2 linked regions of the Cricetulus griseus genome follow. Each later gene encodes a partner of the first gene's protein in a complex. Links are inferred from orthologs where the notes say so. Each region holds a gene or a part of one and is shown in the gene's direction. Other genes may lie near its edges.

Region 1 (7,904 bases):
ACAGGAAGAGATCAAGTTTAAAAACTTAGCAAAATTATGAAAGATACCTTAGGGGAAGGTCAGAAAGGTGCTGTATCTGATCTCTTGGTGACATCCTCATGATATTGTTGTCATGGCCCTTAATAGGTAGACAGCAAATAATGGAAAAAAATCCTGAAGGATTGACCCCTGAGAAACAATTCAACCTTGAGGGGCTAAGAGACAGCAAAAGACCCACTGGAGATCCACCAGAGCACTCCATTATTGAGATCTTAAGGCAGAGGCTGATGGGAGTGGCGAGTCTGGGGGGCCTGGGCATTTTTGCTCTCTGGAGCTTTGCTCCTGTCCTGTGGCTTCAGTTGCCATGCACTCTAGAAGGCCCTGCAGAGTGCCCAGTGTTGGGGAGTGTGACTCGACTGTTGACAACACCTGCACTGCTGTGACAAGTGCTGCTCTTTGAAATGACAACACAGCACACATGGAAGAAGCGCGCCCCGTGCCTCCGGCATCCCTCTGGTGATGTTTGTTCCATGACTGGGATGGGCTCTTCCCATTTTGAACATCTGAATGGCATGAGAATGACGGGGAAGATGCCGTTTTTTCCTTTGAGTGAGTGAGACTGTGAGGACTCGGGCCTTGAAGTGAAGCTTGCGATGCTTTTTCTAGTGTCCTTCGTACGTTACTATGTTAGGGTCCAGAGTAATTAGCTGGGAAGCTAAAGTTCCTCAGTTGACCAAATCTTTCCTCGTGAAGTAAGCTCCACCTTGATATTTAAAACTATCCTACTGGCAGTTTCCTTGCGGGCCTATAGGCAAGTTAAAACTAGAACCCTAATACTGGGTGGGCTAGAGCCTGAGTTCTGAAAAGGAGACACAGCAGGCTGGGATCCAGCAGTGTGCTGATTAAGATGTGGCTAGATAGTGCTCACCCGGATCCTGTTTGTTCTTACAGGGACTATGCTGAGTCTGTGGGGCGGAAGGTGCGAGACCTCGGCATGGTTGTGGACCTGATCTTCCTTAACACAGAGGTGTCATTGTCACAAGCGCTGGAGGATGTCAGCAGGGGAGGGTCTCCCTTTGCCATTGTCATCACCCAGCAGCACCAGATTCACCGCTCCTGTACAGTCAACATCATGTTTGGAACTCCACAAGGTACAGAGACCCAAGTAGTCCAAATTCCCAGAGATAGTCGCCAGCACACTGATTCTGTGACCTGCTTGTGAGAAGTGGGTTTGGGGGAGTGGCTGATATGTTTCATCTCCAATGTAGCAGCTCCTTTTTGTGCTATCTAGGAGACTTTCATCATCATATTTTCCTTGGTGTTCTCTGATACTAATACTGGGCCTGTTGCAAGCTGTTCAACAGCCAGTTCTGCTGTAGAGGTCAGTGATGTGTCGCATTCACTGATTCCGTGACGTCAGCACTGCCATAGTACCCCATCTCAGGCCACCAGTGTCACGACTTGTGCACACCTGGCTCCCAGGGAAGTCTGGCTTAGGCGTCTGCTCCCTGAAATGCAGCTCCTGGAGACAGAGACTGTCACAGACAGGGTACTGTTTGTCGGTGTAACGGAGAACCAAGTAGAGGAGTTATGAGGACAGGAGGCGGCTCTGGCCCTCCAAAGGAAGGACAGGATCCTTCGAGTCATCCTTCAAAGTGACTTTGGTGCTTTGAGCGTCCTCCAAGCATTGACACTCAGCCACCCATGCCCTGATTGTGACTCTTAAAGCCTAACTTCCCCTTTTGCACCTGCCCAGTGTCTCGGATGGCCTGGGCTGTCACACCCATAGTCACAGGGTATGTTAGAATCCCCAAGTCATTTGTCCCTGAGGAGCTGCCCTTAGTTTGTATTAGAATGTTTATGTAAGATTCCAAGAAGTGTCCTCACCACTCTGCAATTTGATCTTGGTCCATGACTTTTGAACTGATGGATTTAAAAGTGGTGGCTCTGCCCTGAGGAGCACAGCGGGGAGCCAGGCTTTACAGAGCTTCTTTGGCCTCCTGCTGCTGTCTAGAGGCTGCAGGCTGCTCCCCACATGGTCTGTTTGACTCTGTGGGAGGCTCTTGTATTCCTTTGGTTTTTATCACAGGTCTGTGATCTAGGGATCTCACTGAAGAAATAGCTCTGTAGGAAGGTATGGTCCACCCTGAAGAGCACTGCTCTGTCCCTCAGCCTGCCTTACTCTAGGCTCAAGGCTTCTTGCCCCTGCAGTGCTTCTCTGCTTTGAGAATAAGAAAGGCACTCGGATCTATCATGGGAGAAAATAGCTTGTGTTATTGCCTCCTACAGAGCATCGCAACATGCCCCAGGCAGATGCCATGGTGCTGGTGGCCAGGAATTATGAACGCTACAAGAATAACTGTCGGGAAAAGGAACGTGAGGAGATTGCCCGACAGGCAGCCAAGATGGCTAATGAAGCCATTCTACAGGAACGAGATCGTGGAGGCCCTGAGGAGGGAGGTCGTGGGGGGCACCCTCCAGCCATTCAGAGCCTCATCAACCTGCTGGCAGACAACAGATACCTCACTGCAGAGGAGACCGACAGGGTCATCGACTACCTGCGTGGGCGGAAGGAGCGGCTCCTGAGGAGCAGCGCCGCCGACGCTCTGCCTGGTGAGCTACGTGGCAGGGCCGAGGTGAAGTTCTCTTCTCACGCTGCATTTCTCTCATCCCGTGCTCCCGGGGGAGGGGGGCATGCCCAGGGTTCTCTGCGGTGGGGAAGGGAAATGAGCCATCCACTGGCCTCTCACACAGGCCGTGCACGCTGGTGATGCTGTTAGCAATGATCTCCCTGGAGTTGGCTTAATGGGGGGTAAACTACAATTGTTGGCTCCCTGGGAGCTATGATGGATGCCCTTGTTTGTTTGTTTGTTTGTTTGTTTATTCATTCCTTTTTTCAAGCAATTTTTTGGGCTCTAGGCTGCTTTCAGCTCAGGACCATATCCTGAGATGGTCCTTTTAGAATTTGATGTTATTGTTTGTACTGTCGATTGCTGTGATGTATGATTGTTGTTCTTCCTTTGGCTGCTAGGCCTCCTGCCCTTAGGGGGCACTCTCAACCAGATGCCTCCCTCTTTTGTCTTCCAGGCCCGATTTCCCGCCAGCCACTCGGGGCGGCCTCGGGTACCTCGCTGAAGACACAATCAAGTTCCCAACCGCTTCAGAGTGGCCAAGTGCTTCCCTCTGCTACACCCACTCCAGCCGCACCCCCAACCTCCCAGCAAGAGCTTCAGGCCAAAATCCTCAGCCTCTTCAACAGTGGCACGGTCTCGGCCAACAGCAGCTCTGCATCCCCCTCGGTTGCTGCCGGGAGCTCCCAGAACCAGAATTTTTCCACAGCAGCAAACAGCCAGCCTCAGCAAAGACCACAGGCCTCAGGAAATCAGCCTCCAAGCATTGTGGGACAGGCAGGGTCTGCTCGGAACATGGGCCCCAGGCCTGGGGCTCCTTCCCAAGGGCTCTTTGGTCAGCCTTCCAGTCGCCTGGCACCTGCCAGCAACATGGCTAGCCAGAGGCCTGTATCTTCCACAGGTATTAACTTTGACAATCCAAGTGTACAAAAGGCTCTGGACACCCTGATCCAGAGTGGCCCTGCTCTTTCCCACCTGGTTAGCCAAACTGCTGCACAGGTGGGGCGGCCCCAGGCCCCCATAGGATCATACCAGAGGCATTACTGAGGCTCCACCAGTCCACTCTCCCTAGTCCCCTTTTCCCCTGGTCCCTCCCACTTCATCCTAAGTAGAGATGTTTGGAAGTGTTCTTCGCACTCTCTGGGTCAGCATCAGATATCCTAAGTTTCTTGCACCGCTCCTTCCTGCGGCTGTTGCTTACCACTTAACAGAATCAGAACTTAGACTGCTTTCGGGACTGTATCTTTTGTTTGGATAGAAAATAAGTATTTCTGGGGTCTAGGCTCAGCTTCTTTCTGATGGGGTAGCTCTGGCCCCAGCCTGGATTTGGAGGAATAAAGAAAGAAGCCAAACCCCAGCTGCCTCAGTTTGAACACCACTTATGGAGTCAGTGGTGACAGCCTTTGTTTCCACCTCCACACGTCATCCAGAATTGAGCTGCCTGGCTCGCATAGAAGCAGGTTGGCCTTGGCAGGCAGTGTCATCACTGTCCCATCAAGAGAATGGAACTCCACTCAAGGACTCCCATTGGCTACTCTGAACTGGGGAAAAGTGGACTCTTGTGCCTGTGTCACACGGTCTCTGGGGGGTTGGTTTGGTTTTGTAGTTTTCCATTTCCTTGGAGGGTCTCCAGATGACTGTGCGGCTCACTCGGCAGTTTGACATGAACTGGGACTGGGACCCACTGCTCTCCACAGCATTAGTCAGCACCTTTGTGTCCAGCAGCACTGACAGGGCAGCTCCAGTCTCCAGCACTGGACACCCATGTTTTCAGTGGGAGCCCAGGCTTTCGTTCTCATCCATACTCTTGTTCCCTTGTCTGATGAGCAGGAGGTAGGGACCATTTGATGTTAGACTGTAGTAGTTGGATATGTTCTGAGACGGACAGCATTCATAACTTTTGAGACAAAGTGACACTTGGAAGGCTCTGGATGCCACCCTGAATGGATCCAAAGGATAACTCCTTTTCCTTTGGGAAAGACTGCTCATTTAGAACCCTGTGGATCAAATCTGTGAGAAAGAGGGACCTAGAAGAGCAAGCAAGAGTGGTAGCTCCAGCTGAGTCCCTGCCAGGGGCTAAGCAAACCAGATTCAAAACCCAAGGTCCCCAAACGGCAGCAGTTTATGTTCTGATCTGTTTGTTATATGGTGGGGTTTTTCCCCCCCTCTTTGGAACTCTTGTGTTGTTGATAAAATGAAATAATTACTTTTTAATTAAAATAAGAAAGTCAGACCTGTGCTCATCTTTCTTGGGTGTATCTGCAGCATCTCTTTGCAGAGCACTTGCCCCAAGATCAGGCCTTAGGATCCCTGACCCAGCTTGAACCTCAGTGTGCTGCCCACCTGCTGAGAAGTGTTAGTAATGGCACAGAGCAATAGCCTCACATCAAGTCCTGTCCTACTCTGCACCTGCTTCTAGTAGAGACAGCTTACCAGGGGTTGTGGCCAAAACATAGGGGAGGAAGCCATTGTGAGAAGTCTTTATGGATGATGGTTAGAGGCAGAGGCATTCCTCTTTAGCCTTCGTCTCTGTTGCTGCCCGTCGTGCAGGAGTTTGACATAATCTGTAGGTAGAACCTGAAAGCCCTGAAGAGCCTATAATACACTTGGCATCAATGTCCCAAGCTTCCCCTAAGGACTTGCTGCCTCCCAGAGGATGCCATGTGACCTGACACCTAGGAAGCACCTCCGGGCTCAGGCGCGGGGCCCCAAAGCTGGTGTACTCACTTCTTCTATGAGCAGAGAGGGCTGTTTTCCCACCCAAGAGTCCTGCTCTAACTGGATATGGTGGTCCACACATAAAATCCCCAGGACTTCGAAGGTGGCAGCAAGAGGATTGGAAGTTCAAGGTCATCCTTGGCTACATAGCCAAGTTCCAAGCCAGCCTGGGCTCTGTGAGCTCCTGTCTCAAAAAAAACAAAACTTCTGTCAACAGTGGATTTGACTTCCTCCTGAAGTGTCCAAACTGTACCCCTTAGGCTATCAAGGGTGTAATAAAATTATTTTTATTGCATTGTGTGCAGACAGGTATCTAAAAAATTAACACAGTAAAAGCCTTAAAGCATTAAATGGGAGCATTCAACAATAAAGGAAAGACCGACCCTCTCCTTTGCATATTGGCACAAAGAACACAAGATCAATACCGAGGCAGGATGCGAAATACCAAAACACTAAAATTAAAGGCAGGCCTAATAATAATAGTAATAACGATAAATACTCTTGATTTGGCTTGCAACCTCTCCTATTTACAAGGGTTTTGGACTTGCATTGCATTGCCCTGCACATAGGTCGGCTGAAACAAAAGCAACACTCCTTCTTACTACCAGGCTATTGAAATATTGCACTCAGAGTAAAAGTCACCTGGATGGACATGGAACATCTAGCTACAAGATTATAAAGGTGACTTGAACGACACAAGGTTCATAACAAATATTGCACATGGAGCACAGAAAACTTGGGGTTTTGTTGTGGGATGTTTGTTTTCATCAACGGAAACTTTGCTCTTGCCAACCAGAGTCTGGGCCCAGGTAGTGCAACTTTGGTTCCCTAACTGATGTTGATAAAGCCTCTTCTGCGCAGCCCCTCTCTTGCCCCAAAAGGCAAGACCACGGCAAGGGAGGGCAGTCTTGAAGGATGACAGGTCCTGGGTCCTACACTTCCAACTTTTTGGATACTGCCTGGAAGAATATCCAGTCCCCATCAAACCGCAGAGGGGCCATGGGCCCAGCAGCCGAGCAGCGAACTTCCAGCCCTGCCACAGGCCACACCTGACCCTGTCTAGATGGCATCAGCTGCAGCTTTCTGCTTGGGCTCATGGGAAAGGAGGTGGTGAGGTCAGCTAGTGGCCCCGGCCTTGGAGTGGGCAGGATGTCTAACTAGGTGCGCAGGCCAGGGCCCTGGGGCTGGTGGCACTGTACCCAGTCCCAGAGGGCGCTTAAAGGAGCATGCAGTGCCTGTCCCCTTAGTAACGTGCCCTAGGGGAAGGGAACCGGCCAAACGCCTTTCTAAGGACTGAGGGCACCTCCCCACAGGTGGGGCTGGTGGAGCGGAAGCGCCAAGGACGAGTTAGGGAAGCCAAAGGCCTTGGGTCCAAGTCAGAAGAGGGCAGAAAAGCGCCAGGAACAACAGAGCCCACGTGACTCCAGCCCTGCTCCAGGACCTGGTGTCTGGGAGACGTAGCTCTAAGGACCTGCTACTAGGCAGCAAGGCCCATCTTCAGAGCACTCAGTAGGCAGCTGGGTCCCCAGGCAGGACCTGCAGATGGGGGACCAAGGGAGGGAACATCAGAGGCTGCCCGGGCCTCTAGACTGGCATTGGCCCCACGACTCTCGCCTGTCTCAGGGAGGAAACTGGGGAGGGGGTGCCGCCCTCCAGCTCCACAAATTCAGTCTTTGGCGAGGAGCCACGGGATATGGGGAGCAGGCGGCAAGCTCCTCCGCGAAGGCACCGGGCGGGGCTTGCTCGGTAGGTGCGGGCCTCGGTTTCTCCCCTTGGAGGATGGACCCCTCGCTCTCCTGGCCGCCAGAAAGCTCGCATCCACCGAAGCTGGCCGCCGCCGTCTCACCTGTGTTTGCCAAGAACTGGAAGGAAGAGAGGGAGGCCCAGGGTGTGGACAGGGAAGGGAGGGAGAGCGCAGGCCTTAAAGCGCTTGGCTCTCGGCTCGGCTCGGGCGGGCGCACGGAAACCTGGCTCCCGGGGCTTCCGCCTCCCTGGGTGCCCACAGCGGGGAGAGCGCGGCCGTGGTGAGGAGTCCGTTGCGCTTCTAGTTACAGAAATATGGGGACATTAAAAATACACGCGATGTCTCCTGTACACTATGTATAGCGCGGCCGGCCGGTGCCTGAGCTCGGTGGCCAGGGTCCCGGGGGAACGCGGCGGGGCGTGGGAAGGGACAGGCCCAGGGCTGCCCGCCCGGGACCGCAGTTCGGCGCCTCCCCACGCCGCCTCGCCACCTTTATTGCAGCGTCAGCTCCAGCGGGGCGAGGCCGGGCTCAGAAAAGGGGCCCACGGGCCGCCCTCGGAGTCAGCCCCGACGGGCGCGGCCTCCGGGCTGCAGGCAGCGGGGAAAGGGGCCGGGGCGCGGGCACAGGGTCTTATGTAAACGGTGACAGCGGCGGGGTGGCGCGGCGAGGGCTCCGGGGGCCGCGGGCCGGGCGCGCTCGGGCCGGCTTGACAGGTCCTGGCCCTCAGGAGTAGATGGTGATGACCTCGCGGCCGCCACCGCGGACCAGCATCACCCGGTCCAGTTGCTCAGTGAGCACCTCCAGGAACTCCATGTCTGAGAGCTGGTCAAGG
Region 2 (8,019 bases), on another chromosome or scaffold:
TGTTTCCATTTCGGAAGATAAGTCCTGATTCATGCTCTGAATCTTTCAACAGTCCGTTCTCTACCTTGACAAACCAGTTTAATCTCATAATCGGTTTAACACCTCAAGCAATTTGTATGGCCTCTTGGCCTCTCACCAAAAGCTGATCCTCTTTTCTTGGGGGACCTGCTTCTTCAACATCCCACCCAAACCCTGCCCCCATGCTCCTGGAGCTCCAGGGAAGGCTAACACTACCATAAGAGACATTCTGCACTCTTCAGGAAAGGCAGTACCTCCTGCTGCCTGAGGACAGGGCTGTCAACAAATATTTGTTCCATGAATAAACATGCACAGTCACTTCCCCATAGGCTGTTTTATTTTCAGATAGGGCCTTTTGTAGCTCAGGTTTTCTCTGTTGCCAAGGATGATCTTGAATTTCTTATCCTTCTGACTCCACCTTTGTAGCACTGCGATTATAACCATATAGGACCATACTGGTTTATACCGTGCTAGGAATGGATTCCAGGGCTTAGTGCATGCTGGGTAAGCACTCTACTGACTGAGCTACATTCTCTACTTCCAGGCTATGGTTTAAGTGGACTAAAGAGTCAGTGTGTTTCTATCTCACCATCAACCAAGACAACCCTGAGGATTGCCTTCGGGTTCTAGTCCTGTGAGCAGGACTTGTATGGTTTTAGGAGAATCCTTTTACCCCTGAGGTCTCTGAAACCCCAGCGATAAGGATAAGACCAGAGCACTGGAGTCAAGTGGACCAGGTCTGTTAAAGTCCCGCCCAACTACCATCTACCATCTACAATCTCTACACCCCTGCAAGATTCCGGACTCAGACTCCAAGTGTCCTTATTATTAAGCATCTTGCAGGTGATGTGGGACCACTGGACAGATAGCCATCAGAATATAATAAATGTTCCTCAGCTAACTCTTCTGATGCTGACCAGGACATTGGATGCTGTAACACTGTATCCAGCTGGCACTGGACTTGGCCACATTCTCTCCCGAGTGTTTTATTCTCAGTGGCTCTGTGAGGTGGGGAGGTTTGGAGGCAGGCCATGCAGTCTGTAAGGGCTTAGGTTTGAGTTCTGGCTTTCATTAATCTCACTTGTAAAGTGGGGCTACCAGTGACACCTTCCTTCACTGGGTTGGCTAGCCGGAAGGAAGGAGATGTGCACGCATGAAGGATATTTGGGACAATCTCTGATCAGGACAAGTGCCCAGGAAAAATGGCAAGATCAGTTTCAAGGGGGTACATTTTCCAAATTGCACTCTTGTAGCAGACAAAGTCTCCTTCAAAGCCGTGAGATGATTTATTGAAAAGGAAGTAACTGAATCCAGGCTAGGCCTGGATACGGCTGTAACCTAGATCCTGCCTTTATTTCCATGGTTTACCACTGTGCCCTTCTTACTTCATCTTACCACCCTGACTGTGTAAGGCCCAGAAGCTGTCCACACAGCTATGAGGGGCTGCCTTCCTAAAAACCTCTGGCTGGAGAAGAGGCTTGGCTGGCATGAGAACTTCCTGTGGGTAGAGACCAACATTCAGGCTCAGTGACCGGCCTACTGCGGGTCCCGCTTGCTCTTCCTTCTTCCCAGGCTGGTGGCTCACTATGCTTCCATCCAACACCTAATCCATGTCCTATGCGAATCACAGCAGGGTCTTTTCCTCATTTTAACAAAAAGAGGTCTGGGGAGACCACAAAGGGAGCTAACACAGGATGGCCTAGGCATGGCCATGTTTAGTTTTGTCAACCAGAGGCTAGGGATGTTATAACTCCTGGAGAAGGAGAGGAATAATTTGCTTGGCTCTCCTAGAACTGTGGCATTCAAAATGAAATGCTCAAGGCAGAACAATAGAGAACTGAAATGAAATATGGACGGAACATCTCTAATCTAAAAACCGTAACCTATAATGCTCAAAAGTCCATACTTTCTGGGTTCTATATCCTGCCATACCAGTGAACAATCCCACAGCACACCTTATACGATGGTTACAGTCAAGGCAGTTGCACTAAAGACATATAGAATTACTTTAGAGCTATGTGCATGAGAAATACCAATGAATTCCCAAGAGATCTCATTATAAATATGCAAATATTCCAAAATAGAAAAAAAAAATCCAAAGTATGTTCTTGAGCATCTGAGGCAAAGGGACACTTAGATGTGTAACCCATTCTTTTAAAATATCTATATTGGATATACTTTGTAACTTATAAATAAGCCATGTACTAAAATGGAACATCTATGTACCCTGCTAACATTTATCTCACATGCTAACATGTCAGGCCTGCTTTGTCTCACAAGCTAGCAACTCGTTTATTCCTCCCAATGATGCTGACAAGTGCCATCAACATTGTCATCCCTATCGGACAGTGGAGGAAAAGACGACACATGGGTTAAATAACCAGCCCCAGTCACATGGGCCATTAAAGAGCAGGGGCATGATCCTATAACCTCTGGCAGTTTGGCCCCTATGGCTTGTCACATACCTTGCACATACAGATGTGCACAGATTGAGGGCAGAAGATGGGTTTCGCTGCCGCCAAGGAACATGATTCAGATCCAGGATGTGGTGGCAGAGGAGTCACATGCTGCTGTGTCTTGTGGCTTGTAGCCAATGTATGGGAAGAGGCTGGAAGTCACAGATAGACTGCCCATGTTTCCCTTCCATGGCTTTCTTTCAACAAACATTTAACCATTTGCTTTTGTTTGGGGCCCTGTGCACACTGTGAGGATTCAATGATAACTGGAAGATGGGTTATAAGTCCCACAGAGCTGATGCAACTCACATGTCGTGGAACAGTATTAGAAGCTCTGAGAAATCCCTACTGGGTGAGGAAGTGACAGTTGCCAGTTTGTCTTTTCCATCAAAATGATGGCACTGCCCTATTTTAAAGACCAGAGGTGATACCAGAATACTTTGCCCTCAAAGCAACTTGCTGCCCAGCTGTGAGTGGCATGTAACTGATTGACAACAAGTATACTTAGGGCCAAGTAGAGGAAGGGAAGAGAGAGAGAGAGAGAGAGAGAGAGAGAGAGAGAGAGAGAGAGAGAGAGAGAGAGAGAGAGAGAGAGAGAGAGAGAATGCACTTCACCTAGGCAGAGTGTTAACCTCTGCCTAGAGTCCTGACACCCCCAGTACACTGGAATCAGAATGTTTCTCAGGCCACCACTTGACGATTAATTGCAAGAACCAACAGATACATTGTTGAAGTTTCTATAGCTCTGCTCCCTGTGGATGCTGTAACTCAACTGTCACCTTTCCTGGGTCAGGAAGCATGTGCCCCTTGCTAATCCTGAGGGCTGACATTTGTCAAAGTGGCTCTCTCCATTTAACACCAGGAAACAAGGAAATCTCAGAGAGCAGCCTCTGGACATGCTGCTGCATGACATCAACCACCTAGGCAGTCCATGTGGCTTCCACCTCTGCACTTGCCCACGTCTAGCTAGGTAATATTTCTCATGCGTTACCTCGGAACATAAGACATACACCCAGGAGAAAAGAAACAGGGTTTCCAGAGCTCAATTCTGGAATCGATGATCAAAACAATAGTTAGGTTTAAAGGAGAAGTCATCCATGCCAAAAAGACATTTTTTTTCTATGAAGCCAAACAAAGTTAGAATTATGACTATAAGTAGCTGTGGAATAGAAGAGGTCTACTCCAGGAATTATGGGTAGAGATTCGGGGCATGATCAAGGTGAATAAAGTTTTTCTTTCATCTTAACTACAGATGGCTCAGAAACACCGAAGAACACGGTTCTCCTTCCAGAACGGTCAAAATTAAGGTGAGTTGGTAATCTATATATAGCAGGCAGAAGTCTTGCTATGTGTGCCTGAGGCTTTAAATATGGAATGCATATTTATCCGGAATAATTCATATTCATGCATATGGAGTAATATACCTTTCAGCCTTGTTCTCATGGTAAGCCACATACAGTTAGATTATAAAAGCTCAGGTCAGTGGAAGTTAGGTAGTGCCTGTGTCAATGTGTCGTGTCACAGAATTTAGTAAGGAGAACGGGAATGACCAAAAGTATCTAAATCCAGACTGAAAGCTATGGTCAGCTGTCAGCTGCTAAACACACTGTTCCAAGCCGGCACAATTTTATCTTTTTACATTTTGAGCTAGATATCTTCATAGTAAAATTATTAATTTCCATGCCCTGATTTGAAGGCACAGACAGTACAATATATTTTAGAGCTGCTTTGAAGAATTTTTGATGCGGGGATATGTCTATTTTCTATACAGCACAATCGCATCTCTGCCGGCTTGTCAGAGGCAGACTGCAGCCAACACAAGCATGCTGACGCCGGGAGAGAACCCATCCCCCGAATGGCTGAGCGCACACACTCTGCAGCCACCATCTCACCAGTGATCTCCATTGTAACCAAAACAGAAAGACACAGAGATAGCAGCGGCTGCCTGGGTCGCGGGTGCAGCTGTCAGCTGAAATGGTACTTACTGTTTATGAGAAAAAACCATTCCTTAGGTTTCAGCGGAAGCTCCAAGTTCCCGGCTGCACCTCTACCTCCTGGCCAGGCGGCCCCTCCCCCTGCCCAGCCTGCCCTCTTCATTCACTGGCTCACTATCTTCCAACCAGGCCCTCCCCAAGGCTCCTCATCTGAGGCACCAGCTCCGGCTGGCTTACCAGCACAGGGCTCCCGCTGGAAGCAAGACACCTTTTCTACGCTCTGCAATATTTAATCTGTTTTTCCCGCTTGCAAAAAAGAAAATGTCTCTCTCCAGCTCTCCTCACACACAGCCTTTGTTCTGACGCTACAGGATTGCGAGGCTGAGAGGAGAAAGTCCCAGCGTTATCTTGGCACCGTGATATGTATGAAGTGCTATAAAGCCAGGGAGGAAACATTTCGATTGGGAACATGGGGGGAAAAAAGATTTCTGGTCTATAATTTTTCTGTGTCATGTTCACCACCAGCAGTGCAAACTGAAGCCAGAGCCATTTAGGGGTGCCTTCCTCAGGTCCAGAAGAAGAGTTTTCCCTGAGGAGTTTTCCTCTTGCCTTAGATCTGCTGTCCTGCCTGAGAAGGCCAGAGTTCATTTTCTCTGTTCCACTGACTGCTGCAGAGGGACTCCGCCTTGCAGTACAAATGGACCTCAAGATAGAGGAAGAGATTTGAGCTTCTCCCTGGGTTTTCCAAAATGCAGGAACATGGAAATCCTTCTTTCTCCTATGGAAATGGGTCAGGCTTGCTTCTTTCCCTGTTTTGAGAGTTGATCTCCTGTGTGTTCCTACAACCCACCTCTTAAGCCATTAATCTATCCCCACCTTGGAGAGCAAAGCCTCCTCTACCAGTGCAACAGCATGCAGGCTTGGCAACATTATTCATAAATGCTGCTGTTTTGTTCATTCCCACATGCTGGGCTGGGCCTGTGACCTCCTACTACAGGACAGGACATGGAGGCTCACTCCCTGACCTCGCACATCAGGCCAGTTGCTTCCCATTTGCTGATGGCTGCTCTCTCCTTGGGGAAGCCCTTGACTCCCAGGAAGACATTTCTGCAGGGTGTGTAACAGCAGTCACGTGCTCCAAGGTAGAATGGTTGGGCCGATGACAAGGAAAAGATAAATGTGGAGGCCAACCTCCAGCTCCTTCCAGGCACCTGTGGTGACTAAAGTAAGACAGCTTCCTAACTGGCAGCATTGTTTGGCCTTTCACAGTGACCTTGAGAAAATACAGATAGGAGAGCCATGAAAAGTGCTGGCCCATTCTCCAAAGGATGAAAAACAATCGTAGCCCATGGTTGCCAGGGTAATAACTGTTGAGCTTAAGTGACAACATTTTACTTGCTATTTGTATAAACTTGATAGGCTTTTCACGATGGTAGGGGAAATGTGAGAAGAATGTTTAATTTCTTCCAGTGTCTTTCCAGGGACTTGCTATTTCTGAAAACAAAAGAGCCACCCAATGTCCACAGGGAGGGACTAGTCTTTTTTGTTTACAAGCTACTGAAGTCTCTCCTTCATACTCTAGTGTAAGGGTACTAAGCTGTTCATGATGATGACATCGAGGAGGCATTCGAGAGAATGGTAACAACATTTTCCTGAGAAACTACAGATCAACAGAGTGAAAATGATCTCTGTGATCCTCACACAAGGGGGACTGTCCATGTAAACCTTCCCAAGGGAGCTCTTCCAGGCACTGGAAAGTTTCATCAGCTCATTCACCCACACCACTGGACACAGTCTTTAAAATGGTCCCGTCCTAGGGCTGAGGAGATAGCTCAGTTGGTAAAGTGTGTGTAACACAAGCATAAGGACCAGTGTTCAGATCCCCAGTATCTATAGAAAAGCTGAGCGTGGTGGTATGCATACTTGTAGCCCTAGCTTGGGAATGGGGGCGGGGATGTACAGGAGGCAAGTGCATTGCAAGATCTCACTGGTCAGCCATCTAGCCAATCCATGAATTTGTTGGGGCTGTGAGATGCCATGGAGACAGATGTGTGTTGGATGGATGCTTGATTGTCTTGGCAAGCTCTCCTTTGAATCTCAGTCCTCACAGATACCCTGCTAGGGAGGCAAGAAGCAGGGCTTGTGCATGGTTTCTCAGCATAGGGACTGAGGCGCAAGACTTATTCATCATTTGTGATTTATTTCACTCCACTACTCATGTGTTTCTCAAACAGAGTTCCCATCAAGAGCACCACACCTTGCCGTCACATCTGCACACGTTAGGAATGAAGGTCTTGGCCTCACCTGGACCTGTGGATGGAGCAGCTCTAGACGTGCTTGGGGCACTGAGGTAGGTTATGACACATGCTGAAGCTTGAGAACCACTGTCTTCCAGGAGACAGTACCTGACAATGAGCTCTAGGTTTCAGAAAAATTCTATATGGTGCCTTGGAAACCCAGCATCCCAAAGGAGTTGGACATGTCTTTAAAATACATTGTGCAGTGAGACAGACAGACTTTGGCTCCTGTTCCTGCCCTGAGTGGATGTCATTTTCCTTTTCTGAGTGGCAGTTCCCTCTCTGTAAATGAGAAGGCTTCAGCTGACCATGCAGTGTTGTCTCAAGAGCCAAAACAGCAAATGTGAGGAGCCTAGCTGTCTGAAATGATCAGATGTAATGTAGCTTTAAGAAACCTGTTATGTGGTACTAATTATTTTGAAATTTGTTGAGAATAAAACTAAAGTATTAGATTTTTTTTTTTTGTGTGTGGGGTGTCTTTCTTTTCTTTTTAACCAGTGAAGGAGACCTGCTTTAGTGGGCTTTAGAGTACTAAATACTATGCCAGGCTTTCAACTTTAAGGTCTGTGGTGAAGATCTCACAGGGTTCTAGTCATTTTGTGCTTCCAACTAGGGTGGTATGGGGCGCGTGCACGCGCGTGCACGCGCATGTGTGTGTGTGTGTGTGTGTGTGTACACTGTCTTGAGTTAAGATCCTGGTCGCATTGAGAGCTGCCTCTGTTAGTTGGTTAAGGTTACTTAACTTTAGCCCTCAGTTTTTTTTTTTTATAAGTAAATTGGGATGATGGTACCAACCTTTCAGAATGCCATCAAAAATTAAGTGAGGACTAGAGAGATGGCTCAGCCGGTAAAGACTTGAACTCTATCCCTGGGATGCACATGGTAGAAGGAGACTCCCACAAGTTGTCCTTGGGCCTCCACCATGTGACGTGGCACTCATCTCTATCCCTCCCCCATCATTAAGTGTATTAAAAAGATCAAGTGACATCATGCATAAGAAGCATGTTGTTAGGAACTCAGTTGGCAGTCAAGATATTTGCTGTTGGTGCCAATTGTTATGCGCAAGAAGGCTGATGGACTTTCAGCTGCTGTCTTACCTCTTTTTCCACCAAGGAACTGGCTAGAGATGGGCAGTGGCGAGGCAGAGAAGCCGACAGCCTGCTAACCTCTACAGTGATATAACTGAAGAACGTATGCTACCCCGCCCCCACCTTCAGAAGTTAGGTCTTACTACTGAGTGACCCATGAGCAGATGCTATGTCATTACACCCTTGATTAGTGTCAAGTTCCCAAGCTGACTTGGAACATACAGAC

The links. The genes of interacting proteins can lie anywhere in the genome.
Region 2: the proteins of Ncoa5 (region 1) and Esr2 are in contact, whole or in part, in a crystal structure (PDB 4ZI1), measured with the Homo sapiens proteins. The link is inferred for Cricetulus griseus from reciprocal best matches to the Homo sapiens genes NCOA5 and ESR2. Residues at the interface, in NP_066018.1 of Homo sapiens: Ser344, Leu345, Ile346, Leu348, Leu349, Ala350, Asp351; in NP_001428.1 of Homo sapiens: Ile310, Lys314, Phe319, Leu324, Gln327, Val328, Leu331, Glu332, Leu490, Glu493, Met494.

What each region holds. Positions count from the first base shown.
Region 1 is NC_048599.1:14,418,787-14,426,690, forward strand, and holds the end of Ncoa5 (nuclear receptor coactivator 5), read left to right. Parts: intron 1-930; coding exon 931-1,130; intron 1,131-2,268; coding exon 2,269-2,592; coding exon of another isoform or gene 2,593-2,615; intron 2,616-3,066; coding exon 3,067-3,656; 3' UTR 3,657-4,840; downstream 4,841-7,904. Other genes in the region: Slc12a5 (solute carrier family 12 member 5), read right to left, coding at 7,796-7,887. UniProt on the Homo sapiens protein: Nuclear receptor coregulator that can have both coactivator and corepressor functions.
Region 2 is NC_048598.1:127,399,233-127,407,251, forward strand, and holds the end of Esr2 (estrogen receptor beta), read left to right. Parts: intron 1-3,726; coding exon 3,727-3,781; intron 3,782-4,245; coding exon 4,246-4,701; 3' UTR 4,702-7,163; downstream 7,164-8,019.